4 linked regions of the Anolis sagrei genome follow. The protein of the gene in region 1 binds, or shares a complex with, the protein of each later gene. Links are inferred from orthologs where the notes say so. Each region holds a gene or a part of one and is shown on either strand. Other genes may lie near its edges. The genes, in order: CACNB2, CACNA1S, CACNG1 and STAC3.

What was found.
Region 2: CACNB2 (region 1) and CACNA1S share a complex: the UniProt entries of both Homo sapiens proteins name them as parts of the calcium channel complex. The link is inferred for Anolis sagrei from reciprocal best matches to the Homo sapiens genes CACNB2 and CACNA1S.
Region 3: CACNB2 (region 1) and CACNG1 share a complex: the UniProt entries of both Homo sapiens proteins name them as parts of the calcium channel complex. The link is inferred for Anolis sagrei from reciprocal best matches to the Homo sapiens genes CACNB2 and CACNG1.
Region 4: CACNB2 (region 1) and STAC3 share a complex: the UniProt entries of both Homo sapiens proteins name them as parts of the calcium channel complex. The link is inferred for Anolis sagrei from reciprocal best matches to the Homo sapiens genes CACNB2 and STAC3.

The regions. Positions count from the first base shown.
Region 1 is NC_090026.1:106,409,512-106,417,245, reverse strand, and holds the start of CACNB2 (voltage-dependent L-type calcium channel subunit beta-2), read right to left. Parts: upstream 3,085-7,734; 5' UTR 2,721-3,084; coding exon 2,607-2,720; intron 1-2,606. UniProt on the Homo sapiens protein: Beta subunit of voltage-dependent calcium channels which contributes to the function of the calcium channel by increasing peak calcium current. Plays a role in shifting voltage dependencies of activation and inactivation of the channel.
Region 2 is NC_090024.1:185,706,485-185,713,900, forward strand, and holds the start of CACNA1S (voltage-dependent L-type calcium channel subunit alpha-1S), read right to left. Parts: upstream 3,023-7,416; 5' UTR 2,836-3,022; coding exon 2,672-2,835; intron 1-2,671. UniProt on the Homo sapiens protein: Pore-forming, alpha-1S subunit of the voltage-gated calcium channel that gives rise to L-type calcium currents in skeletal muscle.
Region 3 is NC_090022.1:180,612,468-180,620,666, forward strand, and holds the start of CACNG1 (voltage-dependent calcium channel gamma-1 subunit), read right to left. Parts: upstream 3,227-8,199; 5' UTR 2,885-3,226; coding exon 2,641-2,884; intron 1-2,640. UniProt on the Homo sapiens protein: Regulatory subunit of the voltage-gated calcium channel that gives rise to L-type calcium currents in skeletal muscle. Regulates channel inactivation kinetics.
Region 4 is NC_090022.1:185,456,240-185,463,921, forward strand, and holds the start of STAC3 (SH3 and cysteine-rich domain-containing protein 3), read right to left. Parts: upstream 3,358-7,682; 5' UTR 3,132-3,357; intron 1-3,131. UniProt on the Homo sapiens protein: Required for normal excitation-contraction coupling in skeletal muscle and for normal muscle contraction in response to membrane depolarization. Required for normal Ca(2+) release from the sarcplasmic reticulum, which ultimately leads to muscle contraction.

The sequences.
Region 1 (7,734 bases):
TGAAACTTTCCCAAACTGAGGGGAAAGTGGCTGTAAGGTGCCTTTACCACGTGGAATGAATGCAGCTTGACACCACTTTTAACTAGCAGGACTCAGTGAGGTACCAGCACTCTTTGGCAGGGAAGGCTAAAGCCCTTGCAAAACTACAATTCCCATGATTCTGTAACACTAAGCCAGGGCAGTTCAGTGATGTGTCAAACTGCATCCATTCTATAGTGTAGTTGCACCCTTGTAATACTACAACTTGGACTATTACACAGCATTGAGCCATGACAGCTAAAGGGCTGCCAAGCTGCATTAATTCTCCAAAACAGATTCACCATTAGAATTCCAGATCAGGGACTGGTCACTGACAATCTCCTCAGTTTTCTCTTCAAAATGCAGTCTCTCCTCACAAACTGAAAGACTGAAGGAAGACAAAAGGCACAAAAGGGGGGATTAAAACTTCCTGAGACTGTAAAAGAAAGGTGGCTGTAGGTTGTATAGAACCATAAAAAGTGCTGCCAAACTGCATCAACTCTACAGAGCAGAAGATGCATCCTGAGAGGTTCAAGATCAAGGACTGGTCGCTAACAATCTCCTCAGAAGCTGAAAGGGGAAAAAAGGCACAAAGGGGGATTGAAACTTCCCCAGAGTATAAAAGAAACATGGCTGTAGGTTCTATAGATACAGCCACAAAGACCTGCTGGCAAAAACTGTGTTTATTCTACACAGTAGAAAATGCATCCTGAGATGTTCTACATCAAAGCTTGATCACTAACAGTCTCCTCAGCTTTCCTTTCCCGAGACTGTAAAAGAAAGGTGGCTGTAAGTTGTATAGATCCATAAAGAGTCCTGCCAAACTAAATTACTTGTATAGAGCATAAGATGTATCCTGAGAGGTTCAAGATCAAGGACTGGTCACTAACAATCTCCTCTGCTATCCCTTCAAAACTCTCTCCTCAGAAGCTGAAAGGAAAAATATAAGAAAGGTGTATAAGAAAGGTGACTGTAGGTTCTATAGATAGAGTGCTACCGTCAACATTGCATTTATTCTACAAAGTAGAAGTTGCATGCTTAGAGGTTCCAGATCAAGTACTGGGCACTAACCATCTCCTCTGCTAGCCTTTCATAACACACTCTCTGCTCAGAAGCTGAAACATGGAAGGAAAAAAAAGACACAAAGAGGGATTAAAACTTCCTGAGACTGTAAAAGAAAGGTGGCTACAGGTTGTATAGAGCCATAAAAGGTGCTGCAAAACTGCAAAGCAGAAGATGCATCCTGAGAGGTTCAAGATCAAGGACTGGTTGTTAACAATCTCCTCAGCTTTGCCTTCAAAACGCAGTCTCTCCAAGGTAACTGAAAGAAAAAGACAAAAACGGGAACTAAAACTTCCCCAGACTGTAAACGAAAGGTTGCTGTAGGTTGTATAGATAGAGTCATAAAGGAATGCTGCCAAAACTACATTAATTCTAGAGTAGAAGATGCATCCCTATGAGGTTCCAGATCAAAGCTTGTTCACTCACAATCTACTCAGCTTTCCCTTCAAAACACACTCTCTCCTCGGAAGCTGAAAGACTGAAGAAAAAGGCACAAAGGGGAACTAAAACTTCCCCAGACTACAAAAGAAAGGTGGCTGAAGATTGTATAGAGCCATAAAGTGCTGCCAAAACTGCATTAATTCTACAGAGTAGAAGATGCATCCTGAGAGGTTCAAGACCCAAGCTTGGTCACTAACAATCTCCTCAGCTTTCCCTTCAAAACACACCCTCTCCTCAGAAACTGAAAGAAAAAGACAAAAAGGGGGACCAAAACTTCCCCAGACTGTAAAAGAAATGTGGCTGAAGATTGTATAGAGTCATAAAGTGCTGCCAAAACAGCATCAATTCTACAGAGTAGAAGATGGATCCTGAGATGTTCAAGATCAAAGCTTGGTCGCGAACAATCTCCTCAGCTTTCCCTTCAAACACAGTCTCCTCAGAAGCTGAAAGACTGAAGGAAAAAGGCGGCACAAAAGGAGAATTAAAACTTCCCTAGACTGTAAAAGAAATGTGGCTGAAGGTTGTATAGAGCCATAAAGTGCTGCCAAAACTGCATTAATTCTACAGAGTAGAAGATGCACCCTTAGAGGTTCAAGATCAAAGCTTGGGCACAATTTCCTCAGCTTTCCCTTCCAAACACAGTCTCCTCAGAAAGACTGAAGGAAGAAAAAGGCACAAAGAGGAACTAAAACTTCCCAAGACTGTAAAAGACTGTAGGTTGTATCGCTAGAGTCATAAAGTGCTGCTGCCAAAGCTGCATCAATTCTACGAGGTAGAAGATGCACCCTGAGAGGTTCAATATCAAAACTTGAGCACAAACCATCTCAAGCTGGAAGAAAAAGGCACAAAAGGCGGTTGAAACTTCCCCAAAATGTGAGGGAAGAAAAGTGGCTGTCTGTAAGGTGCCTTTGCAATGTGGAATGAATGCAGCTTGAAAGAAACCGCGTTGAACTGCTATGGCTCAATGCTATGGAGCCCTGGGAGTCGTAGCCTGGCGAGGCATCAAGCAGGCGAGTGTGAATCTGCAAGGATTCTGCGGTGTAGATGCCATCACCTCATCCTCGTCCTTCGCCTTTCTACCATACCTGCGCCGCCGTGACTAGAGCCGGAGGGTTATTATTGTCGAGCAGCTCCATCTGCACCTCCTGCGACGCCAAGATTGGGGCGGCAGGCGACTTGGACATGTCGCTTTGGACCATTGGAGAAGAGGGGACGGAAAGCAAGCAGCCCACAAGTCACACAGAGAGAGTTTCCACGAACAAAGCGCCTCCTCAGCTGAGGAGTTCTCTCTCCGTCTCCTTCTTCTCCTTCTTCTTGAGCAGCCACCGCCTCCTCTTCCTCCGTTGTTGCAGTTATTGTTACTATTGTTGCTCTTCCACGAGCACGGCTTTTGCTGCTGCCTCAGGGATGGGCCATTCTTTCTTTTCTTTTTTCTCTTGCTGACTGAAGAGATGGAGAAAGAAATGGGGAGGAAAATAAAGAGAGAAAGGAAAGAAAGGGAGGGAGGGGAGGAAAAGAGCCGCTCGCCTCGCCCTGCTTCAATCAAGGAAAACACAGCGCATGGCAACCGCTCCAGCAAAAAAAGGGGAGGCAACGACTCCTCCTCCTCCTCCTCAGTCCTCGCTGATGAAAAGCAGGGAGACGACCGCGAAGATGCCTCATGTTTTGCCTTTAGAAAAGCCAAAGATGGTTGGGGGAAGATAGGAAGGTGAAAGGAGCAGAGCTCTGTCGAGTTTGGGCAGCAGCTCCTCCTCAGAAAAGTTGGAAGGTTTACTATGTCTCCTCAAGGGATTGGCCTGCATCCACACGTTGTAGAATGGGAACACTTGGAAGGCTAGCTAGAGTCCTGGGGGTTGTAGTTTGGTGAGGCATCACCACCACTCTATAGAGCAGGCCTGGGCAAACTTGGGCCCTCCGTGTGTTTTGGACTTCAAACAGCCTCAGGCCCCTTCCTTTCCCCCCTCAACCTGGGGCTGTTAGGAATTGTGGGAGTTGAAGTCAAAAACACCAGAGGGCCCAATTTTGCCCAGACCTAATCTACTGTTTGCCCAGGGCTGATCTACAATTCCAAACAGCCTCAGGCCCCTTCCTTTCCCTTCTCAGACTGAGGCTGTTAGGAATTGTGGGAGTTGAAGTCCTGGAGGGCCCAAGTTTGCCCAGGGCTGATCTACAACTCCCACAGTTCCTAACAGACTCAGTCCCCTTCCTTTCCCCCCTCAACCTTGGCTGTTAGGAATTGTGGGAGTTGAAGTCCAAAACATCCAGAAGGCCCAAGTTTGCCCAAGTCTGATCTAAAACTCCCACAATTCTAAACAGCCTTGGGCACCTTCCTTTCCCCCTTCAGGCTAAGGATGTTAGGAATTATGGGAGTTGAAGTCCAAAACACTCGGAGGGCCCAAGTTTGCCCAGGCCTGATCTACAACTACCACAATTCCTAACAGCCTCGGTCCCTTTCCTTTCCCCTCTCAGCCTGGGCTGTTAGGAATTGTGGGAGTTCAAGTCCAAAACACCTGGAGGGCCCAACTTTGCCCAGGCCTGATCTACAACTCCCACAATTCCTAGCAGCCTCAGGGTCTTTCCTTTTCCCCTTCAGACTGAGACTGTTAGGAATTGTGGGAGTTCAAGTCCAAAACACCTGGAGGGCCCAACTTTACTCAGGCCTGATCTACAACTCCCACAATTCCCAACAGCCTCAGGCCTTTCCTTTTTCAACTCCACCTGAGGCTGTTAGGAATTGTGGGAGTTGAAGTCCAAACTTAACTTAGGTGATCCCTCGTTGTCCGAGTAGGATTATCTTCCAAGATTGGTGTACTGGCGGTGGGTCCGTAGGTGACTGTGGAGCCCTATTCTTGATCTGCATGTTTTCCTGCAGTGATAGCATTGGTTTCCAGGTGGAAGGCAGTCGTGGTCGGAGTTGGCTTGACGTGCCTTCCTCTTGGCACTTTCTCCCTTTCGCCTTCCATTCATGCATCTCCAAATTCTACAGCACTGCTGATCACAGCTGACCTCCAGCTGGAGCGCTCAAGAGCCAGGGCTTCCCAGTTAGGGCCCAAGTTTGCCCAGGCCTGATCTACAACTCCCACAATTCCAAACAGCCTCGGGCACCTTCCTTTTCCCTCTCAGCTTGGAGCTATTAGGAATTGTGGGACTTGAAGTCTAAAACAAACGAAGGGCTCAAGTTTGCCCAGGCCTGATCTACAATTCCCACAATTCCAGTGGCTGAGGGGGGAAAGGAAAGGGCCTGAGGCTTTTAGGAATGGTGAGAGTTAAAATCCAAAACACCTGGAGGGACAAAGTTTGCCCAGATCTAGTTGACAGGGCCTTTGCAAAGCCACAACTTTCATGACTCCATATAGCATTGAGCCTTGTCAGTTGAAGTGATGCAGCACTATGTTATTTCTACAGTGCAGAGGAACCCAAGACTAAAGACCTTGTCAAATTACAACTTCCATGACAGTTTCCTTGTGAAGAGAAAAAGTGGGGTATATATAATATTTATTTCTTTATCGTGTCAGGTGAATTAAGAAAACAATTATAATGTATTTTAAAAGACACAAGTAAAGGTAAAGGTTTTTCCCTGACATTAAGTCCTGTCATGTCCGACTCTGGAGGGTGATGCAGCTGAAGAGCCAGAATTGTCCATAGACACCTCCAAGGTCATTTGGCCAGCATGATTGCATGGAGTGACTTTACCTTCCTGCAGACACTGTACCTATTGATCTACTCACATTTGCATGTTTTCTAACTGGTAGGTTGCAGAAGCTGGGCCTAAGAGCAGGAGCTCACCCCACTCCCTGCATTTGAACCACCAACCTTTCGGTCAGCAAGTTCAGCAGCTCAGCGGTTTAACCCACTGCACCACCAAGGGGCCAAAACCCCACACACAAAGTTTAAAACTTGGCATTATACTAAATTTCCTTTCTCCAGAAGCTGGCCACTTCAAGTTCCTCTGGTTTTCCCATAAGTAGGTCATTGTGCATGTGGCGGAGCTCAGGCTGCATTGTAGTCAGTAGCCTGTGGTTTACTCTTCTCCACAGTCGCATATCATGGACTCCACTTTGTAGTCCATTTCTTAAGATTGGCTTTGCATAGAGTGGTGTCCAACTGCATCCATTCTGGAGTGTACATTCACCCCTAGTCTTCTAAGTTCTTGACTGAATTATTCATTCTGATTAATATTTGTACCAAAGTACGGACAATCTTGAACCATTTCAATGTCTTCATCAAGTTGTATAAATCATCCATGGTCATTAGTTTCATTTTCTTAATGTTCATCTGTAAACAACAACTGTAGAATATTAAGAGGGAGCCTTAGTCCTCCAGGAAGACGCTATGGTTATATATATATATATCATCATCATCATCATTTAATAACTTATTAATCGCCCTCCATCCGAGAATGCTCTAGGCAATTTACAACTAAATTATAAAAGATAAAATACATACATACAAAAATTAAAAATTAACAGAGATTGAATGCTCTAGTAAAAAGCCAGGTCTTAAGTGCGAGAGTAAAAGGCCCTAAGTCACGCATGGCTCTCATGTAGGGCGGCAAGGAATTCCACAAGGCAGGGGCAGAAATAGAAAAACCCCGCGCCTGGTCCTTTCCAAGTGCACTTCTCTAGGACCCGGTATATGGAGTAAGTCACGTTGGGCTGGTCGTTGCAACCTCCAATGATGGGAGAAGGAGAGGCGGTCCCTAAGGTACGATGGACCCTGGCCGTAAAGAGTTTTAAAGGTCAGAACTGGCATCTTATACAGGCTACGGTACTCAGTTGGAAGCCAATGTAAATGTTGCAGCACTGGTGTTATATGGCATTTCATGGGCGTTCTCGTGAGTAGCCTGGCTGCCACATTCTGAACAATACGAAGCTTTCGGGTCGTAGGCCCACATACAGGGTGTTGCAATAGTCCAGCCTAGACGTGATTGTGGCATGCATGACAGTTGCCAGAGCCTCGTCAGATAGGTAGGGTGCCAGTTGCCTCACTTGTCGTGTGTGTATGTGTATATATATATATATATATATATATATATATATATATATACACACACACACACATACATACATACATACACATACATTAATAATGCATCAGTGACCTTTGACTTTTTGGTTTGGCTGTTATTTTCAATGAATGAGTACAACAACATCAGTAAAGGAAAGAGATTTCCTAACTAACATATGAGATGGCTTGTGAAATATGCCTAAGCACTCACGTATTTTTCTGTTTCTGTCTTCATAGAGATGTTTAACAAAAAAACTATGAAGAGGCTATTGCTACATTTAAGCATACCGTTGTATGAAGCAACTGTTTAAGGAAAGACTCGGAAGGGAGGAATGCAAAGCAGCACTACAAAATGGGTTTTGTCATCACTCGTCATTCACATATCTGTGCAACTGTTTATCTTCAAAGTCAAACAAAAAGCACTAGTTCTTTTTTAGGTGTCATTAAACAAAAGTCTAAGGTTATATTACAAAAGCGTGGATTGTAAACCTACCAGCCTGAAGTTTCACTAAGAAACAGAATTGTTATTTAATTGGAACTAGAACCACTAGTGGCAATAGGATTTTTACAACTTAAGCCTATTGAGAAAATGTTCTAAACATTAAAACACATTATTTTTACTTGACACTTACTTGGCAAAATCCTCAATGTTTGGGTTTTCTTCAAGCTAAACTGGTGTCAAATTGTACACACAAATCACCTGTTGACTTATGGCCATTCCATAGATTTTATAGGCTTTCTTAGCAAGGAATACTCAGAGGTTTTGCATGGTCCTTTTTCTGAAATATCACCTACAGCAGTGGTTCTCAACTTGTGTGTCCGTAGATGTTTTGGTCTTCAACTCCCGAAAATCCTAACAGCTGGTAAACTGCCTAGGATTTCTGGGAGGCGTAGACCAAAACATCTGGGGACCCACAGGTTGAGAACCACTGGCCTACAGCATCCATTCATTAGTGGTCTCCCATCCAAGTGCTGAACAGAGCTGATCATGCTTAACATCCTAAATCAAACAGGAGCTGGTGCCTTTACATAGAGTATTTACAAGTATATACACACAATCCTACACAACGGAGCAAATTCAAAGCAAACTTAAAACAATATAATTGGTATAACCAAACTCTTGGTATTTTCATCAGTATTGATTTTTTTTATTAAGCAGCAATTTTCAAAATGTTTTGGACACTGCTTTTTTTCTGCAAAGATGTA
Region 2 (7,416 bases), on another chromosome or scaffold:
TTCCATTAGCTTCAGCATATGTCATACTTTTGCTACTGCTATCAGAAATAGTATTACCTCAGTTACTGTATATTCATAATTTATTTCTTTTATAAATCAATATTACTAACCCAATGCTAGATACTGAGGGTGGGTTCATGACAGAGGTAAAAGTTTTAGCCTTGAGTGATGTTTTTATTACTCGTTTATATTCTAAGGACAATAATCTAATTTCTCTCTCCCATAAATTCAAGTGCTTTTGTTCTCTTACAGGTCAGATTTCCTGCTGCTAGCTTTAATGGGCTTAAAATCAGAGCTTGGAAATACCTTTGTCAAAAGTATTTCATTACTTACTACAGTCTTTAAAAAGTGATCTGTCCTGCTATTTATGATGATGATAGGGAGTGTTTACTTATTACATTACACATTCTGCTTTTTATGTTTACATTAATGTGCTGCTTTTTGAAGGTAAAAACTTTTAGTGTTTTAGCATAAAACTCTAAAATGTCTGTCAAAGTCGCTCTTTAATGCCATTAACAGTACCTTTTAATAATAGATGCTGCTACATGTACAAGTAGCTTTGCTCTTACTTGTTATGTTGTTTTTAAAGTTTGATTTTTAACTGTTACACACTCTGTGTGTAATAAAAGTAACAGAAAGCAATTATACTTTGTATCAGTAGCTTCCAAATTCTTCCTAAAATCAGTGCATTTAGGGAGTAATCTTTATTCTCCAACTGAGAGATCATCATCATCATCATCTTTATTTGTACCCTGCCACCATCTCCCCAAAGGGACTCAGGGCAGCTCACAGAAGCACTCCAAGCACCACATGCAGACGACAATATATAACTAGAAATACAATGACATAATCAACAGCACATAAAAATCTCATTAATAAAATTATAAGAATTTGAAAATTACAACATTCCTAATACACAGTGAAACCTGCCAGCTGGCTACATGTCATAACAATCAATCAAAGTGTGGGCCAGTACTATTAATGATTCATCACATTGGTCATGGATTACTCAGGATCAAAGGCCTGTCTGAAGAGTCATGTTTTAGACTCACCCAGAAGGCCTGAAGAGAGGGAGCTAATCTAATTTCTTTAGGTTATTCCAGAGCCAAGGAGCCACCACTGAGAAGGCCCTCTCTCTCGTCCCCACCAACCGTACTTGTGCCGGTGGTGGGACCAAAAGAAGGGCCTCCCAGCAGATCTTAGTGCCCACGCTGGTTCGTAGGAGATGCAGTCTCAAGGATAGGTTGGACCCAAAGTATATAGGGCTTCTGCTGGCATCACCTGTAATTTGTTTTGTTGTTCAAATTATAAATTAGCTTAAAGACACAAGCCTTCTTCCTACTGTACACAGTCCTAACTCAATTGTTTTTTCACTAAATGATTGGGAAAAGTTTAACACTACATTTTCCATCCTTTAACCAATATTAAATAACAACTGGATTTCTATTTTATTCTATGACTTATACAAGAATGATCGGTTTCTTGACTCCAGTTATGATCTTTTTTACGCCACTAACTTTAGCATAGAATCATTAGGCTCAGAAACATATAAAGAAGAGCACCTAATCCAAAGCCCTGACCTTCTTCTCCCATTCTCAGCCCAGAAGTACTTAAAAGATTTCAAAAATAGCTCTTTGGAGAAATTAATCCATTTTGTCCAAGTTATAGTACGTCAAAAGCAGAAAGCAGGAGAAAAAAAGCCACCGCATAGGAGACAGGTCTGCACATTTCCAGAAATAGCTTGTTTTAAAAATCTGATTACTCCAGCAAGCAATGAAATGAAATGAAATGAAACTGTATTTATAGCTTGCCCTATCTTCCCGAAGGGAGTCAGGGCGACTTACAACAAAATACACCATGACAAACATTCCATGCCCACAATAATATATAAAGAACTCAACAAATTGAAGACAATTCAATAAATTATAGATCAATATAAATGAACAAGACATAGCATAATCCACATAATTACATTACATGGTAGGAAGGTAAGCTCCATGCTATCAAAGAAGGCTTGATAGCTCATTTTGAGTTTGAGAAAATTATATCCTCACATCAAATAAAGCAATATATTGACTCTTAAGCAAAATTAATCTTCACAACAGAGTAAAATGCATTGGCCCTTGAATTGAATGTTATTAGACTCCTCAAAGATATGTAAAAAGTGGGAAGAAGCTGTATCTATATTCAATGTACTGAAGTTGAGAAGCTAGATGAAATAACCTGTAAACATTCATTCTGTACTCATACGCATCTCTTTTGGAATCCATGACATATCCTTTTGAACCATAATGGATTCTACAGTTGTACATTTCCAAGTGTTTCTTAATCTATGAATGGCCACAGAAGACTATAACTCCTGCTACAGTATTTTTTTCCAAATCACACTCACGTCCACCTACCAATTCAGACTGGATCAATGCAGTACTTTTCTCTTAAATACCTTCCTTCCCTCCTCATCTCCCTGCTTCTCCTCTCAGACATAAATGCCAAAATTTAGTGGCTTTCTAGCATTTCTAGAGAAGAGAAAATCATATTCAGGGTTTATCTTTCACAAGAGAGGTTCATTGATAATAAATATTCCCCAGCCCTTTGCCTTTGGTTTCAGCTGGTGCCCATAGCACATACACGTCAGCCTAGAGCCAGCCCCATAGTTTTCACCGAAGGATACTTCCATTCCACAATAGCGATGCAGGCTTTGCGCACTGGATTCTGGAGAGTGAGGCAGAAGAGAGATCGAGGAGGCCTGGGAGGAAGTTCCAGGGCTGCTTTCTTAGCTTTTTCCTTTTGTTGCTTTTTCTTCAAGCTGTCATCTTGGGCCAAAGTGGCCTCCATGATCACTCTCCTTCAGTTGCTTACTCCAGGCAGACTTGTCTTGCCCCTTCTTTGGCTCTCCTTTGTTCTTCAACCAGCCCCCCACCCTTCCCCAGCACAAGGGCGGCTGAAGCCCCCTCTGGACCTCTTTCCTGCTGAGCCAAACTTATCAAGGCGGTGTGGGATGTGGGGCTGGGAATGACATTCCCACAGACACAAATACACCCAGCGCAGAGTTTATAATTAGCCCCCAGCCTGGCTCCCAGGGCTGTCAGATTTCCTGAGACAGCAAAAGGAACAGCTGTTCCTTCTTCGTTCTCAATCCATGGCCATTTTTGAGCTACCAATCCAGGTCAGGGGAAAGGATGTGGGTGGGGAGGTGGGCTTCACATATCAGCGCTTAGAAAAGGAACATTTTAATTCACTTTGATTCATGTTTGACAGATTTATAAAGGAGTAGCTGCTGCCTGTATTATCAGGATCAAAGCCACTTCAACATTAGTAGTGTATGGATTACCGTATATAATCAAGTATAAGCTGAGTTTTTCAGCCCTGAGACTGAAAAGCACCCCCTAAGCTTATACTCGAGTCAGGGTTATTTATTATTTTACTGTTATTATTATTATTACTATTATTATTATTATTATTATTATTATTACTATTATTATTATTACTGCATTTATTATTTTACTCTCTTTATTGGTATTGGAAGGATATGAAAGCACATTTACATTGAAGAAGGTTAGAATAATAGTTTAGAGTTGGATAGTCTTATCTAAAATTACAGTTTTATGTAAATATTCAAAAACATTTAATCTACTAATGCCTCAATTAATGTAATTTTATTAGTATCTATTTTTATTTTGAAATTTACCAGTAGCTGCTGCATTTCCCACCCTTGGCTTATACTCGAGTCAATATGTTTTCCCACTTTTTTGTGGTAAAATTAGATGTCTCGGCTTATATTTGGTTGGCTTATACTCAAGTATATACGGGTATATACTTCGATGGTCTTGAAACAGTCAAGATTTCACACAGTAACGGAGACCATATATACATATATATATATATGTATGAATATATATACACACACATACACACAATATTTCTTCAGTTTTAAGACACCATCAATTGTAAGAAGCATACTAATTCCAGTACCACCAACAAAAAAGTATTATTTAGATATATCAAAAAGCACCTGCAATTCTAAGACTTTTTTGACTTGTTTATACAGAAAAGAAAGTGCATCTTAGAATCAAAGAAATGTGGAATGTATGTGACGTACTATATATAAAGACAACTTTCTCACCCGAAAATTTCACGCCCTTGTTTCATGAATCATAGAATATCAGTCAAATCTAAAACACAAGACCAGGCCTTGAGATCCAGAGGCTCTGGAAGTAGCCTTCAAATCTACACATAGGGAAGTCCTATGTCTTACTTAGACAAAAATAATCATAATGTGCTAACTGGAAGCTTAGGCCATTTCTTCACAAACATGATAAAAATAACTTGAGATTTAAACTGATTGATTTGTCTCAAAAAAGAGTTCTTAGTGATTAGCTCTATTCTGCCATTGTTTACTGTTTAGTTCTATCCGCCGCCCCGCCCCCGCCCCCCCTCCCCCACACATCTTCTTTAAGGGGATCCTCATAGGCAGGTACAATATGATCATGTTCACACTGGAACTTGTACCTATTAGGATTGTGCATGGATCTATTTTTCAAACTGGGCTCCAGCTGTTTTGGCTCTTTTGGCCAGCCGTAATGCCATTTTTTTCAGCCTCAACAGACCATGGGGCTGCCGACCACTGCTACTTTCTGTTTCATTCTGTTCATCTGTTTATCACAGGTCTTGTCATCTTGCTAAAGCTGCTTCTTTGAAATATTCAGATCTACATGATAGTTTCCATAGTGACTAGAAATGCTAGATCAGGCATGGGAAAACTTTCTAACTTGGAGGCCCCATGCTAGCACTCCCTGCTAGGAGGACTGGCTGCCCTGTGAGGAAAGGAAGGAGGGGAATGAGGAAGGAAAGAGGGAATGAGGAAGGAAAGAGGGAAGGAAGGAAGGAAGGAAAGGAAAGGAAAGGAAGGAAGGAAGGATGGAAGAATGGAAGGAGAAAGAGGGAGAGAGGGAAGGAGGGAGGAAAGAGGGAAGCAAGGAAAGATAAAAGGGAAGGAAGGAATGGAAGGAGGAAGGAAAAAGAGCAGGAAGGATGAAGGGTAGAAGGGAAGGATGGAAGGAAAGAAGGAAATGATAAAGGAAAGAGAGAAGGAAGGAAAGACAAAGGAGAAGGGTGGGAGGAAGGAAGGAAGGAAAAAAGGAGAAAGAGGGAGAGAGGGATGGAAGGATGAAATGGTGGAAGAGTAAGAGAAAGAGGGAGGGAAAGAGGGAAGGAAGGAAGGATGGGATGTAGTGAGGGAAGAAGGCCTGAGAAAAGAACCCAAGGAGCCACATCTGGCCCCTGGGGCCTGAGTTTGCCCATACCTAGGATAGACCATCTTTTCAATGGGCTATATGGCCCATAAATATTTTTGTTCTATTAAATATCAGCACATCTGAATCAATGACAAAACAATGAGCAATTAAACCAAAGCCAAATATTCATCCATTGTTGCATTGTTTTTAGAGGAGACAACACCCAGGCCTAGCCTACAGCATCTCATTTACATCTTGTTAAAGTTCTATTGTTTTCACTGAAGTCCTGAGTGAGAACTGCAGAGTGCTTGGCAAAGCTCCTGATGCTTGTAATGGACCATGGATTACAGTTTATTTAAAAATAGCATCCACGTAATAGCCTCTGGGTAGTAATCATTTTAAGATGAATAGGACAGCTCTGAAACATATTAGCAAGTTATTATTATAACAGCAGCATTACGGGTCCCCAAACTTGTAATATATGTGTAGCCTTCATTGAATAAGTGTTCATGGTTGTCTGCAATATTAAAAGCTAGGTCATTCTTTATCTTCTGTCAACATTGTTTAAAGTGGTGACTTGACATTTGGTATAGACTCTAAACTGGCCCCCCTCTTTTTGAGGAAATGTAATGAAATCTTGGGTTAACCCTAAAATAGGCATGAGTAGACCCTCAAATGGATTTGCCAGTAGCCAGTTTGCCTAAAGTAAGATATGAGTGGAGGTGGTAGGGGAGGGAGATTTTCCAAGTGCCAGCCTATAGGCCAGGCACGGGCAAACTTCAGACCTCCAGGTGTTTTGGACTTCAACTCCCACAATTCCTAATAGCCTACCAGCTATTAGCCTACCAGTAGGCTACTAGGAATTGTGGGAGTTGAAATCCAAATCACTTGGAGGGCCGAAGTTTGCCCGTGTCTGTTCTAGGTTATAGCAACTCAAACTACCATTCTCTTTCATCTTAGTGATCATTACACACACGCAGCAAACTTCTGTCATTTAATTTGCTCTTGAATATATCTGAGTTTTGCTGTGGAGTTTCATATGTCATTATTATTACCTGTGATTAATTTTTTTATTGGTTAGATGTAACTAATTTGTAACATTGTCACAATTGCATATACACAATTTATTATTGTTTTTTACCTCATATAATACATTCTGTTTATTACATTTTATCTTTTACAGTTCAAACATCTATTGCTTATACCTATCCATTGCTTATACCTATCCATTATCTCCACAATTCCACTCCCATCCCCTCCTTTCAGGAACAGATGTAACTCTTCTCATTGGTTTATATTATTGGTTCAATTGTGAATTTTTTTTTTTGGTTCAGATCCTTATATTTTTCCTATCCCCTTTGCTCTGACTATAATCTCATTCCACTTTAACTTCCAGTTCTCCTTTGGATGACCATTCATATATTTTGTTCTCTTTCACATATGTAGTCTTGGAGCATATACTGTGATAAATATTTGAGCCATTTAAAAAGATTCCCTTTTCACTTCATCTTTCCATCCCGAGGCAACTGTTGCTTAGGTGGATACAATTTGTTCCGTCTCCCAGGAGCATGGGTTTTGCATTACCTTTTAGTTGCTGGAAACAGCCTCTCCTTGTGTTTCTCCCAGGTTGCTGCAGCCTTTGCAAGGCCTAAAAGGTTAGCAGCCAGAAGCAGGAAAGCCAGTTTGCAGGCTCCCTGCAATGATTGGCCAAACAGTAGCTCTTTGGGCCCACCCCTGCTTCCAGGGTAGAAGCATCCATTTTGGAGGTCTCCCTGCCCCTTCAGTCTTAAGGAAGAATCCATGATGTGCTGTTGGCAGACAGGTACCTCCGAAGATACCATTGTAAAAACAATTGAGTTATAGATAGAAAACAATTGAGTTTGATTGAGTTATTTAGTTAGAGATAGATAGATTAAAAGAGAACTATTTAGATAGTTATAGAGGATTGTCTAGATAGTTATAGAGAAGTCAATGGAATATTGACTTCATTGAGTGATAGCTAGTATTGAGCAGTTGCCTCCATAGCTAATCCAGATCTATAGATAGAGGAAAAGGATCCCAGAATTCATTTTACCCTTTTTGGAGAAAGATTGCCTCAACTACTGAACCCCAATTGACTGTTTGTTTTGTGATATTGATAAGCTGAGCCAAGTCTACCAGGACTTCGTGAATAAATACCCTG
Region 3 (8,199 bases), on another chromosome or scaffold:
CCTTTTCCTTTCTCTCCTTTCTTCCTTCTCTACCTATTCTTGGACTGTAACTCCCAACAGTTCTCCTGATCAATTGATCTATTTACATACCTATCTATCTCTATCTAATCCATCTATCTTATCTATCTGGAGGATTGCTGGGAGTTGCAGTCCAGGAATAGGAAATATGCAGGGATTGGGATGCTCTCAAAGAAATCCAAGGAGAAGCAAGCTTTCCTCTTGGAAGCAGTGCATTTGGATCATGGTCCTCTCCTAAAGGTCCTGGTCTAGAGAATGCTGGGAGCTATAGTCCTGAAGAGAGTGTGGATGTGCTATTCTGTGTTTTGTTTGCTAGGGAGGGTTATTTTTGTGCATGTGCTGTAGTGTCGTTTTGCTTTTTTGGCTTTTGAAGTCCCTTCCGCCTTGTTTTTCAGTGTTTTTTATGAGTGATGGTCACTTGTTGGCCTCACAGGTGTGTTGTGTCCAAATTTCGTGTCAGTTCACCCAGTGGTTTTTGAGTTATATTAATCCCACAAATGAACATTACATTTTTTATTTACATAGATGTACATAGTCACATACACACTAGCTGCCTAGAGTCTCTATATTGGGAGAAATGAAGGATAATCATAAAGTAAATAAAGTAAACCAATAAACACAATTCCCACCTATAGTTTTGCTCCCATATAAAAAAAATATAAAGGTCCTAAATACAAATCTCCAGAGGACAAAAGCTGTGCCATCCTTTCTGGGAATATCCCCTCTACTCCTTTCTAACGTGCAAAGAGCCATTGCCTTCCTCATGTCCAGGTTATTCCATTATAAACTCCACCCCATAGTGTGGTATGGGTTGTCACCAGTTCTCAAAGCCCATAAGAAGAAGAAGAGTTGTTGGGTAACCCCAGAGTCCAGAACCCATGAGGCCTGAGATATCTTAGAACCCTTCCACCTAGCCATATAATCCAGAATATCAAGGCAGATAATCCACAATATCTGCTTTGAAGTGGGTTATCTGAGTCCATACTGCCATATAATCAGTTAAATGTGGGTTTTATACAGCTGTGTGGAAGGAGCCCAATTCAACCTGCCTGGATATCTCTGTTCAGATCTAGTGGAGCAGAAGAGTCCTGTCAGAGACCAACCCAGGAACCTAAATGCACAGAAGTTAGGAAAAGCACATGGTAGAGCAATGGTTCTCAATCTGTGGCTCCCCAGATGTTTTGGTCTAGAACTCCCAGAAATCCTAGCCAGTTTACCAGCTATTTTGGCCTTGGCTATTTTGGTAAACTGGCTAGGATTTCTGGGAGTTGTAGACCAAAACACCTGGGGACCCACAGGTTGAGAACCACTGTGGTAGAGGATGGGAGAGTATGTTGATCAACACTATCCCATACACATGTGCCTTTATCAATAGTCTGAGTGGAACCGATATGCCTATATGAGCCAGTCACTTCTACATGCATGTGCATGATCAACTCAAACCTTGAACCAATGCACAGAGGCAACAAGAAAATCAGCTTTTACAACCACAGTCTACCTCCACCACCCAGACCTATTGATCTGATCACTTCATTACTTGAAGAGGGGCTCTGCGTAATAAAGTTGAGGTCCTAGGCAGAGGCAGCCCTAGGTAATTTTCAACGGTGAGCAAACAGTATTTTGCCCCCCCCCCCAAAAAAAAACCAAAACCAATCACTGATATATATTTTCTGTTTGTTGTGGGAGTTCTGTGTGCCATATTTGGTTCAATTCCATCATTGGTGGAGTTCAGAATGCTCTTTGATTGTAGGTGAACTATATATCCCAGTAACTACAACTCGCATATGTCAAGGTCTATTTTCCCCCAAGAGCGCCTCAAGAGCGCCCCTGGGCAAAATCAACTATACTGCAAAGGCTTACTTTGCGTAATGGTTGAGCCGCCCCTGGTCCTAGGTCAAGCAACAACAGTAGACATGCCAGATCACTACAGCACTCCTCATGTAAGCAACTCCTGGGATTTTGTTATCTGTGTTGCTTTCTACTGTCATACATGACGATGTACATAGATGTGATTACTTCTAGCTATGATGTACCTGTAGATGTTTTAGTTGCAGTGAAATGGCTCATTGCCGACAGTCCTCTATTATCTTAAGCAATTAAAAGTTCTTCAGAGTAGCTTTTGGCCATAAACTAGTTTTATATTTTGATGTATCCCCCCTCTTCTCCCCGCTTACATAATTATCCAAATCAGGAGCACTATTTAATGGAAATGCTGGCAGTACGTGATCTGAAACTGTAGGGGTTATATAAGCCAATCTCCCCCCACCCTTGCCATTCGGATAAAGATTTATGTCAGACTTGGCAAGGCGGGGTTCGTTGACACTCCTGTGATCAAAGGCTCCAGAGAAAGCATATTTCGTCTTCTGTCTCCTCTTTGCTTTTCACCTCCCCCCATCATTTCCCTTCAGAGTAGGACAGCACCAAACATTAACACAATACATGCCAAGGAAGCAGAAAGATCCTCAGGGAAGTGTGAAAAAAGAACATCGCTTTGGGCTAGCTCAAAAGCAGCATTGGTAGTGACATTTCCATTCTCCCAGCATGCCCTCTCACATTCAAGCTGCCTTGCTGTTTTAAGGTATTCTGCAGCGCATTGTCAGGCGGTTATATGGGGACACCTACCTCCTGGCAGGCTTAATGGCCCACAACCCTGCTCTTTGTCCGTCTCATTTTCTTTCATGAAGATCCGTTTTATACAGATCCGCCAGAGTCCAAAGTGGGCCATCTCGCAGGTAGCGTTGTACTCTTCTACCTTAGGACTCAGCACGGCCCAGTGGTCCGTCACCACCGCTGTGAACATTAAGACGATGCCTATCAAAATGATGGTAAAAGTCACCCGGACTTTCAAAGCCTTGCCTTCGGTCATGGCTGGGAGGCTTAGGCCAAGACGCAGTAGTGCAGGCCGGTTCTGGATTAATCTGCTGGTGACAAGGAACACTGCAAGTCATCTGAGTTGTCTTCCAAAGTCTTGGCGTATCTAAGCATGTTCAAATGTCAGCCCTGCAGTGGCAAAGAGGAGTAGCGAGGAGAGGGTTGGGGGAGGCAAGCAGCAGCACTTACAGCTGTTGAGATGTATCAGATGACCAGTCGGGCTGTGAGTGAGGCTTCTATTAATGCACAGTTTGGGCGAAGGAATAGGCTGCTCAGATTACGGCTGCCGGGATTTGCTCTGGGAATTCCAAAGGCTGTCTTGGAGCAAAATGGACTTAAGGGAATGAATAACCACCCCTATAGCAAGCACCAGGCTGGGGGTTGTGTAGATGTATGAACTGAAAGCTATAAATACTAACACATATGCTGGAAACCTCTGTGCAAGCAGACCAAATAAGGCAATAGAAAAGGTTGAATTCAGCAATCTGTGCTTGTGTGTTTGGGTGTGCACACTTCTTGTTACACAATTTATTTTGCTATTGCTATTCATAGGGAGGGACTAAGAGTAATGAATGGTATTGGAAATCCCCTGGTTACCACATGGGGTTCTCCCCCATACATTGTGCACAAGCCCGTAGCCAGGATTTTGATTCGGGGGGAAGGCTGAGTTTGATTCGGGGGGGGGGGGGGGGATGAGGATCTACCCTAACAAACCTTTTGTATCACTATCCCAATACCCCCATGCATATGGGATATATTGAGCATGGTGATCAGATCATGATATGAATAAACATAACACAGACCTATAAACCCATTTTCCTAGTTCCAACACACTTCATTACCTCTGAGGATGCTTGCCATAGATGCAGGCGAAACGTCAGGAGAGAATGCCTCTAGAACATGGCCATATAGCCCTAAAAACCCTACAACAACCCATAAACATAACAGTTTAAATAATGTACCAGTAAGGCCTTCTCGCGGACTACCCTGAGAATTTGGGGGTGGTGGTGGGGGGTGAAGCCCCTCAAGTTGTCCCCCCCCCCCCCCCGGCTACGGGCCTGATTGTGCATAAACCAAGATGGTAAAGATGGCTTTGTAACTGATATAAGAACCCAGGGCTATTGTTGTTCATTTGTTCAGTCATCTCCGAGTCTTCGTGACCTCATGGACCAGCCCACGCCAGAGCTCCCTGTCAGCTGTCACCATCCCCAGCTCCTTCAAGGTCAGTCCAGTCACTTCAAGGATGCCATCCATCCATCATGCCCTTGGTCGGCCCCTCTTCCTTTTACCTTCTACTTTCCCCAGCATAATTGTCTTCTCCAGGCTTTGCTGTCTCCTCATGATGTGGCCAAAGTACTTCAACTTTGTCTCTAGTATCCTTCCCTCCAATGAGCAGCCGGGCTTTATTTCCTGGAGGATGGACTGGTTGGATCTTCTCGCAGTCCAAGGCACTCTCAGAACTTTCCTCCAACACCACAGCTCAAAAGCAATACAGCAGGACTCAAAACAAGGACCACACTATACTAGGAAGGAAGTCTAGTTCTTCCCCAATTTCAGACTGCAGTAACAACCCTTCCCTACCCGCAGTCCTTGAAGGAAATCTGCTGTTCACTTCAGTGGACAGAAGTAGTGACAGATCCTTTTCTACATAGTCCTCCCAATTCTAGTCCCCCCCCCCCTCCCCCATTGTTTTTGAAATAATAAAAAATAACTATGAAGGAGGTGAATGCAGACTCAGTCATGGTAAAGTGGGTTTTTTTTATATTACATGACAGGAAAGTGCTTTAATAATAATAATAATAATAATAATAATAATAATAATAATAATAATTTATTTATACACCACCCTATCTCCCCTAGGGGACTCAGAGCGGTTTCCACATATGCAAAATAATACAAGAACATACAATATAGATGCAAGCAAAACGTCAGGAGAGAATGCCTCTAGAACATGGCCATATAGACTGAAAAAACGTACAACAACCCAAGCTTATTTAAAGTTGGAAAATGTACACAGGTTAAGCTGCAAGGATAGTGTGAGCTACCAGAGGAAGCAATGTAAGGTTTATTCTTATGGCATTCCTGTTGATCCTTTCTTACACTCATGCCTCAGGAATGTGCCAAAGAGCCTTATGGTACCTTGAAAATGAACAGATCTATTGTACCATAAGCTTTCAAGAACTGAAGGCACTTTCATTCCCAAAAGGGTCTGCTACAGTAAGTCTGTTAAGTTTTGGGTGCTTCTCTTGCCTTGAACAGAGTTCAGAAAAGTTACATTTTTGACTATAATTTCCCAGGACTCCCTAACAGACATCCCAAGTTGAAATCCAGAATGTAACATTTCCATGCTGTGCCACAGACAAAAGTCACTCCTCTGGAGTGGTATGACACCTTATTTCTGTTTGAGAAACAGTTGTAAAAAAACCACAACGCTTCATAAACACTTCATAAACTTCCTTGTTACCAGAAGTAGATCAAATTAAAGGAATAAGAAATGTTTGTTACCTTTCTGGTTCTCAGAAATCCATGCATATTTTGGTAACCCCAATAGTATTTTTGCATTTCAGGACCCGTCCACACAGTACTTTTATAAAGAAGGGGCTGTCCAGACAACGCTTTGGACAGCTTCGAATTAATTCACTACAAACCATGAAAACCCTGGTTTGTAGCGAATTAATTAGATAATAGATTTACTCCATGCCTTCTTGGAAGGCGAGGGATAAACCCACTATTTCTGGTGTCTGGATTGCAGTCCAGACATCATTCCACGGTTTTCTGGACTAAATTAGTCCGGAAAACTGTGGAAATACCCACCCCTTTCCCCCAAAGAGGGGCGTAGAAATGACACATCAGGAGAGGGGGGAGGAGGAAACCCCCCCTCCCGCTTTCCTGGCATGTCATTACTATGCACCAGGAGAGCTGCTCCAAGAGTGCACTGGAGGCTGGGTAAGTTTATTTTACTTTTCAGAGGGGTCTGAGAGCATTGGGGGAGGGGGGTAGTGCCTCCAGATGGACACCCATCCCAGAAAGTGTGCGTTTTCTGGGGTGGGAGTGGATAGGCCCCCAGAAAAATCCACATTTTAAAAATGCGGATTCTCCTGGGATAAAGACCTGTCTGGATCCACCCTCAGAGGATTTTTCTTCTTATCCTTCTCTTTCTACTTCTGATGCAATCATTACTACTTCATGGGAGGATTGTTCTAATCATAACTTAGGGTGTCAGTGGTTCTCAACCAGTGGGTCCCCAGATGTTTTGGCCTTCAACTCCCAGAAATCCTAACAGCTTATAAACTGGCTAAGATTTCTGGGAACTGTAGGCCAAAACACCTGGGGGCCCACAGGTTGAGAACCACTGATAGAATTACTTACTTACGTACTTAGGCGATCCCTCATTGGCCGAGTAGGATAGTCTTCTGGGATCAGTGTGCTGGTGGGTCCGTAGGTGATTGTGGAGCCCTATTCTTGATCTGCATCTTCTCCCGCAGTGAGGGCATTGGTTTCCAGGTGGAAGGCAGTTTCAGTCGGGGTTGGTTTGACGCGCCTTCGTCTAGGCATGTTTCTCTATTTCACCCTCCATTTGTGCCACTTCAAATTCTTCAGCATTGTTGGTCATAGCTGACTTCCAGCTGGAGCGCTCTAGGGCCAGGGCTTCCCAGTTCTCAGTGCCTATGCTAGAGTTTTTAAGGTTGGCTTTGGTAGAATTAATGTAGTCTGGCACCACTTTAACTACCATGGTGCAGTGCTATGGAATCATGACAATTGTAATTTTTCAGTGTCTTTAGACTTCTCTGCCAAAGAGTGCTGATGTCTTACCCAACCACAAATCCCAGGATTCCATAGCATAGTTAAAATGGAATCCAACTGCCTTAATCCTTCAGTGGGGATGCACTCCTAGTTACTTTCCTTTCCACTAGGGCTTGGCAGACCAATTTTCAACAAACCTCATATGATTCCCAAACAACCAAGACGGCTGTCAAAAGGAACTAGGGCGCTTCTGACTCAGGTCTTTCATTTCAATTGCACTGCGCTCTGCATTCACAAAGGAAAGTGGAGAGTGTCACCCGAGGTGACTATGATTTCAGATAAAAGGAAGAAAAAGCAGTAAGAAAAAGAAGTAGCTCAATTATAGCAAATAGTCCCGTCCCCCCCCCACTCCACACACACGTATCCCTCACAGAAATCAAAATGCCTTGATGATTGGCATCTACAGTTCTAAGAGATTCCGGCGAGACAGATATGATACCACTCCCCGTTTTCAAATTCCAGTTCCCGAGTGTGCTTCAATGGTCCATCCCAGGGAAGGCATTCCGCCCTACTTAAGAGTGGCTTCCCATCTTCAAATAGCCTTGCAAGCAATTCCTGGTCATTACACTCAGGAGTAACTGAGATGTATACCATCAGAATAACATGGGGGAAGGTTGTCACTAAGTAGAAACTTTACATTAAGTTTCACTGAACTTGCTGGTAAATTCCTTAGAAGGGGTTGATTATGTCTGCTCGGGCCTGCTCATAGAAACTACACGACAGTAGAATGTGGTAGATGCACTCTACTTCCTGTTTGTTACATGGGCAGAGTCTTTCATTGTATGTATGTTGTTGTTGTTTCGTTCAGTCGTTTCCGACTCTTCGTGACCTCATAGGCCAGCCCACGGCAGAGCTCCCTGTCGGCCATCACCACCTCCAGCTCCTTCAAAGTCAATCCAGTCATTTCAAGGATACCATCCATCCATCTTGCCCTTGGTCGGCCCCTCTTCCTTTTCAATTCCATTTCCCCCAGCATCATTGCCTTCTCTAAGCTTTCCTTTCTTCTCATGTTGTGGCCAAAGTACTTCATCTTTGCCTCAACTATCCTTCCCTCCAATGAGCAGCCGGGTTTTATTTCCTGAAGTATGGACTGGTTTGATCTTCTCGCAGACCAAGGCACTCCAGAACATTCCTCCAGCACTACAGTTCAAAAGCATCTATCTTCCTTCACTCAGCCTTCCCTATAGTCCAGCTCTCACATCCCTAGGTGACTATGGGAAATACCATTGCTATAACTATGCGGATCTTCGTTACCAGTGCGATGTCTCTTCTCTTCACTATTGTATTGAGATTGGACATTGCTCTCCTCCCAAGAATTAAGCGTCTCCTGATTTCCTGGCTGCAGTCTGTGTCTGCATTTGTATTTCTTTGCACATAGAAATACAAAGTCTATCACTGCCTCCACGTTTTCTCCCTCTATTTCCCAGTTGTCAATCATTCTTGTTGCCATAATTTTGTTTTTTTATGTTTAGCTGCAACCCAGCGTTTGCTCTTTCTTCTTTCACC
Region 4 (7,682 bases), on another chromosome or scaffold:
ACACCCCAATGATTCAGCCAGGAAAGCCTTTGGCAATACAAAGGATACTTTTTTTACAGAATTCCTTTATTGTGTTTGTAGGGTGGAGAACTAGTAACACATACCATTGGCCTATAATGCTGATCACTCTTTACCATTATCTATGCTGGCCAGGGTTATGGGAGCTAGTCCATGTTATCCCATTTTTTGATATCAGGCTTGTTTAGATCTAAACACCCACTCCTAGAGTTCCTAGTCAAGTCCAATACAAGCTATTTACCTTTGATCTTCTTTTACTTTCTGTTAAGGCTGGAGATTTGGTCATTTTCTGTTTTTAAAAGTTTCATCCAGTTCAAGCAAACAGAATTCACGTGTATAGATCCATTTCTAATATGCATTCCAATAAAGTTTTGTCTAACTCAGCATAGGACCAGGGGAAGCAATAGGTGATATTTCAGGGTATAACTCTCCTTAAGGGTTTCCAGATTTTGGGGAACTACTGTGCTTTCCTGGTTCTCCAGATAAAGACACTGATCTCAGGATGAGCAATGCTGGAGTGATATTTTTAGGTATGAGGTGGCCTTAAAATGTGGGTATGTGCCTCCACCCATTCCCAGTTGATATTGTGATTCATTGGCTCGTCTTAAAAGCGTTGCATGCATAATATGTTTGAGCAGCCTCGGTACACCGAATAGGGGAAGGCGCTAGGGTGAGACACAGTGAGTGCTCACACTGAGGCTCAACGTGGTAATTTGGAGCAAGGCCCAACCCTATGACATCACAAGAATCCTCTCCCTGGTTCCAGGTTTTGGCCCTGAAATCTCTGGGATGCTGTTCGCTTGGCAACCTTGCTCTTATCACTCTCAGGTGGCATATGATCAGTGTTCAAGGAGCCCCTGGTGGCGCAGTGGATTAAACCCCTGTGCCGGCAGGACTGAAGACCGACAGGTCGGTTCGACTCCGGGGAGAGGCAGATGAGCTCCCTCTGTCAACTCCAGTTCCTCATGCGGGGACATGAGAGAAGCCTCCCACAAGGCTGATAAAAGCATCAAATCATCCGGGCGTCCCCTGGGCAACGTCCTTGCAGACGGCCAATTCTCTCACACCAGAAGCCACTTGCAGTTTCTCAAGTCGCTCCTGACACAACAAAAAATAAATAAATCAGAATTCAGAGGTTAAAACAGTTTTAGTTCAAAAAATCTGGATGGCACAGAATGAACAGCACCAAGGGTATTTATCAGTTATATGGATTTATAACTAATCTGAGTATTCCTGCATTACAGGAGGTTGGATTGAATGTGCCTTGTGGTTCCTTCCAATTATACGATTCTGTATCATCTATTCTAAGGTCACAGATCCTTGGAATGTTGTTTAATTTGAGTGAGTGCTAAGAAGCAAAAACCCATAGAGCTATAATTTCCAGGATTCCTGAGAGTTCACAACTGTTGAAGAAATTTAACTCTGCAATAAAATCTGCTCAAAGGATGGCATCAGACTTAGAAAGCTATGATGATATATGTTCCAGAGATGGAGTTTATCTGATCAAGTGAGACAGTACAGAAGTTTCTCGACAGATTGACACTCTTGTTTTCCATGCCGCACTGTTTTTCTCAAGAGGGTATGAGACAGAGTCTGGAAAAGTTTGAGCAGGGAGGTTAGATTACAATTCACAAGACACACCAGCATGGCCAAAGGGGAGTTGCCAGGAGTAATTCATTGTCAAAAGAAACTTGTACACAAACGGAGTGATACGTCATCATGTGGTCATTAACATTTGATGAGCTCAGACAGCATCCAGCACTGAAAAGGTACAAACAAATACCACACTCCTTTATAAACTAGATGCTGGGAAGTCCAGTTCCTTAATCATGGATGTGTAAGGACAATCTGTGCTAACTCAAAAATGAGGGAAAGGCATTCTCCACACATTCTTTATTATTCTTACTCCAGATACTTTAGCTTAGTGTAAAAAATAGTGTTGATGCTTACCCAACACAACTTCAGCCCCAGGTAAAAATCCAAATATATGCTTCTAAACATCTCACTAAGCTGACTGAAAATACATCAAGCTGCACATTTTTCCAAAATTTTCTAAAAGTATTATTAGTAATGAACAGAAAGACTGGACCACAATATCACACATGGAAACAATTCTTGGCCCTCAAGGCAATTCTTTTCTTTTGCTTCCCAGTATCCCATTTCCGAAGCCTTTATGACAGTCAAGGAGTGGCTAAACATGACACAAGGTACTTGTGTGCCATTACCCACGTCATTGGCGGGACGTAAGTGGAAAAGCATTTTGGCTTTCCATTCTGTAACTGCTCTGGTGTCTGTGTGTCCACAAATGGATCCAAATCTCATAGGAGCCACCCATCTCAGGTTCCTAGAGATTTCATCATGGCTGCCTGGAGCTCCACCAGAAACTCTCCATTACATGGTTGGGACACCAAAGAACAGCCTCCAGCATAGAACAAAGAACATCACATGCACCATATTGGTGTAAAACTCAACTTCTTGCTTTGAACATCTGAAATAGCTGCTTTCCCAAGGACAAAATCTTCCTTGCTCTTCAAAGAGGAAGGACAAGCCCGCATGTAATCTCCTCAGAGCTTCTACAAAGGGCCAAAAACGTCCTTCCCTGTCTTTTCAAAATGGCAAGTGACTGAGAGGTACTAAACTTTCCCTGCTTAGCAGCAAATTTCATTGGAAATTATCCGTCTGCAGAAATCAGGTGACAAAAATGAGCATGCTTTGGGAATGTTTCAATCTTTGTTTACAAAAGCTTTGGTGGGAGAGTTTCTGTATGTGTGAGAATCCCACACAATCCTTAACTGATAAGACTATAGGAAAACAGAACATTTCTGCAGTATTATCTGTCCTTTGAATCTCTTCCTACCCTCAGCCAGAAAAGGAGTGTCAACCATTTTATGTTTCAACAGACTGAAAGACATGCATTTATCCATCTTATGAAGCCAATCAGATTAAAATGGGTAAAATACACTGGCAATCAAGAGGACAGCTTTTCGACAGTTTGCGTGAAAAACAACTGTCATGTTCATAAGCATTAAAACTCCAAAAAAATTTCAGGTCTCCATGTAGGGGGAAAACAGACTATACCAGTACCCAATGGGGGAAAAGTGGAAAGCACTTACCTCCAAGAATAAAGCTACCACTTTCCAGCAGATTAAATCCTTCTGAAAAATATCAGACACTCCTGAAAATTCACTTTCTTCTGTCTGGCCCAATATCTCACTTTAGAGATCCATAGGAGATAAAGAGTTTCCCCTTGCCAGGACTTAATGTATAAAAGTTTGCTGTCCCAGCACCGCGAGGAACTCAAGTGACAGGGTGAGAGGGGAAAAGACAGCTGCCATCCATTGGGAGGGCTGACACAGAGAAATTGGACACTGGCAAGGAGCTTTAGCATGAATAGTAGGCCAAACTGCCTGAGACAGCAACGCAACAGCTCAGTCCACTCCCTGGGGATTGGTAGGAACTGTCAAAATAGTGTGTATGAGAGAGAAAGATGGAACCTAACTACGACTCATTTGCCTATGAGGTCTCAAAGAGACATTGCTGCCTGGATCACACATTCACCAGCTCAGATCTACAAATTTGTACCTCATCAGGTCATTCCAGAACAAGATGGCAAGGGAGGGAGAGAGGCAGGAACATGGAGAAGACATTGGACTAGAGCTTTGAAAAACTGCTGGGGTTGGGGAGGGGTTACAATTCCTTGTCAACCTAACCCATTGTTCTCCCCTAAGGATTTTGGGAGTTATAATCCAAAAAGTTACTTCAACAAGCTGTGCACAACGCACATACACACAATCCTAATATTTCCTCTATGACCTTTTCCGTGAAGCTTATCTTCCTTACAGATAGAAGTGCTTCACAAAGTACAATAGAGTTTTGCTTATCCAACATAAATGGGCCAACAGAATGTTGGATTAATGAAAGTGTTGGATAATAAGGAGGTATTCAGGAAAGTGCCTATCAAATGTCAGATTATGTTATGATTTTACAAATTAAGCACCAAAACATCATGTTTGGCAACAAATCAACAGAAAAAGCAGTTCAATACATGGTAACGTTATGCAGCAATGATTGTATTTACGAATTTAGCACCAAAACATTGTAATGTATTGAAACAGCTGTGGATCGAGGCGGGAGGCAGACTGCATTAGATAATATAGAACGTTGGATGAGCGAAGGCTAGATAAGCAAGACTCTACTGTACAATGAACAAGACTGACTTCCACATTTATTTATTTTATTTAGGGCATTTGTATCCCATCCTATCTCAACCCCTGCAAAGGGACTCAGGGCAGCTACCAACTGGCCCAGCATAGTGCCAACAACAGAGTAAAACAAGCATAAATATACATATTATAATAAAACAATATAAAAACATTTAAACAGTTCTCCAATTTAAGTCATCATCCTAAAACCAGTCCAACATAGTCCATTAAAACCATTTCTTTGCCAGCAAATCAGTCTAATGTGTGAACGCTTGATCCCACGGCCAGGATTTCACTTTTTTCCCGGAAGGTCAGGAGTGATGGAGCAGTTCTGATCTCATTTGGGAGGGAATTCCATAGCCGAGGGCTACCACCCTCGTTCCAGCCAAATGCGATGGCAAAGGTGGAGGGACTGAGAGCAGGGCCTCCCCAGATGATCTTAAGATCCTAGGTGGTTCATAGAGGGAGATACGTTCATCAACTGTAAATGTGCAAAGTACTTCAATGTGGAGGAATAAAGACATCATCCAAGTACTGTAGAGACAGCATTATTCTTAGAAAATGACTAAGGCAGTAATGGTGGGGTGGGCTGAGAAAATGTAGTTTGCTTAAGGCTGCCTACTAATTTGTCGGCAGAGCAAACAGAATCCAAGGCGCACCTAGGACCCTTCCACACAGCCCTATATCCCAGAATATCAAGGAACAAAATCCCACAATATCTGCTTTGAACTGGGTTATCTGAGTCCGCACTCAGATAATGTGGGATTTTCTGCCTTGGTATTCTGGGATATAGGGCAGTGTGGAAGGGCCCCCAGTTCAAATGTCAGTTTCTCTGGCACTGGGGCTATAATCTTATAACCTCTCACATGGAAACAGTTTCCACTCAAGTTAAAGGGACATATTCCTGAAGAGACATTGGGAAAATTGAAATAAAAGCTAAATTTGCTATATTCTGTAATGTTTTGGTAATTCAAAGGGCCCTTCCACACAGCCCTATATTCCAAAATATCAAGGCAGAAAATCCCACAATATTTGCTTTGAACTGGGTTATCTCAGTCCACACTGCTATATATTCCAGTTCAAAACAGATGTAGGATTTTATTCAGCTGTGTGGAAAGAACCTTAGCCTTGGTATCAGAGAGAGGCGATTAGTTGTAATGGGTCAATGATGCAGTTTCATTGCTCACAAAAAATTATGCCTCTTCTCAAATCTAGAAGCCAAATTAATTGTACAAAACATGCATATGACATTTTACTGTTTTGCATAATTTATAAAGAATTCTAAGTTACTTGGCAAATTCAATATGGTTGTTTTTGAAGCACAAAAACATAAAACGGTTCTACAAATCAACATATTCTGATTTGCAGATCTTTTAGATTAGGGCGATAGTATAATTGAATAACGAATCAGATAACGCTACTATCTGTCTTTTAAAGAAGGACTAAATTAACTTCTTCAGCATTCTTTGATTAATTTCTTCCAACAAGCAGAAAAGATCGGCCAAAGTCTGCATTTTACATTTCCATATAGTTAAGATCTGATACATTGATGAAATTACATTGCAGCCTTCAAACATACCCCATTTAGACATTTTATCTAGGTGAATATCTAAAATGAATAGATTCTGGAGCAGAAGCTTGCCTGGAAGTCAGTCTCCAATCTGGATGTTCTTAACTCTCAATTCTGTATGTTGGCCAGTGCTGTGATGTCTGCATATTTGAGGGAAGTCATTTCATCCATTATTCCAAGTTTGATCCATGACTTTGAGAAAATCAAACTAAATTTTGATCCCTTTGACTCCATCTCACTTCAAAATCCAGAAGAAAGTGGATTTGTGCCTGCCCACTGAATAGATTCTTTCATACCAATATTAAACACATAACAGCTTCTCTTATGCAATATACCAGGTTAAAAAAAATCCTTAAAGTTTTGTCCCCCAATTACAAAATCACTAGTGTTCATTTTTGATCTAGTCAAGACCCTTTCAAAATGCTTTTCAAGTCAGTGGTGGTACAGTCAGCCCTCTTTATCCACAGATTATGCATTCACAGATTCAACCATCCATGGCAAATACCAAGGGTGCTAAAAATACATTTTAAGATAGGAAAAGGCAGAATTAAAATTGTAATAATATATATCACATCACAAACACAAAAGATAAATACAAGTCACATTTGGCTTCTGCAATTACAAGAGGTGCTCAAAATAGTTACCATCAGCTTCCAGACACTTCTGATTATGGTGGACTATGCCTGAGCATCGTTGACCAAAGTGTGCACTAGTATCGCTGTGCATGCCATTTCAATTTATTCCCAAAGTATTGCCAGTGTAGCAGGTTTCTATGGTACATCACATCCTTTAAGGTCTCCACAGATCAGTGGTTCCCAACCTGTGGTCAGTGAACTGCCAGTGGTCCAGAATGAAAATATGGTCTGCGGCTTAACCATTACCATACAGTTGCCTCAAAACCACGAAGCAACAAGAGTGATTGGTCTTGCAAAACCCTCTTATAGTCCTAAGGCAATGGGGATGTCGGTAGGGGAGAGGCTGACTACCCACGAAAGATTACTACTACCACAGCTGGCACGTGTTCTGTATCAGAAACTAGAGCTGATGTGGCCTTTGCAATGCAGTTTTCTGAATCAGCACCCCAAATAACCAAACAAATCCAAAGTTGACTAAAAACTGATTCGTAATCCTTTTGGTACTAATGTTGGAGAGTGGTCCCTGGTCAAAAAAGGTTGGGAACTACTGCCATGGAGTGTTAAGTCAAGGGGTGTTAAGTCTGGAGAACGTGGGGGAAATTTGGCTGCACCTCTTCATTCTTCTGTTCAATTTAAACTGTGCTTTGTCAGATCAAATCATTTTCTCCACAAACTCATCCTTCTATACTATTTTTTGGAACCAGTCACAGTACTGAACCCTGAGATCAGGGCTGTCTTCATTCAGTGCATGTAATAATCTTGAGGTGAAAACTTCCCAATTTACTGATTTAAGAATGTGCCAGCTAATTCCTGTCTCATGTGCAATTTGATTGGTAGACATCTCCGGTGAGTGTGTAAACTGTTCCAACATCATAGGAGAAGCAGGACTTGTTGCTGTGCAACGTCTCCTGAATCTTCCCTTGTGCACATCACACACAGCATCATGTGTCTCAAACTGATCAGGAACAACTGCATTTGTTAGACACTTTGGATGTTCTGTTGCCTCTATTGTTGTTTTACTTCCACAGCATTCTCAAACTGCAAATAGCATTTCAAAATGGTTTTGTGCTCCTTAAACAACAACCATGCTTTCAACATTTTCTTTGATCACCTGCCTGTCTCATAGTGATGATAGTATTCATTTGATTAATGCCATCTTTTGAGCGAATGTCATACTACACATTGCTACTGTAGTTCAATTCACCATTAAAAATACATAAAATGTGTATACATTTTGCACCCTCTGTATTTAAAAAG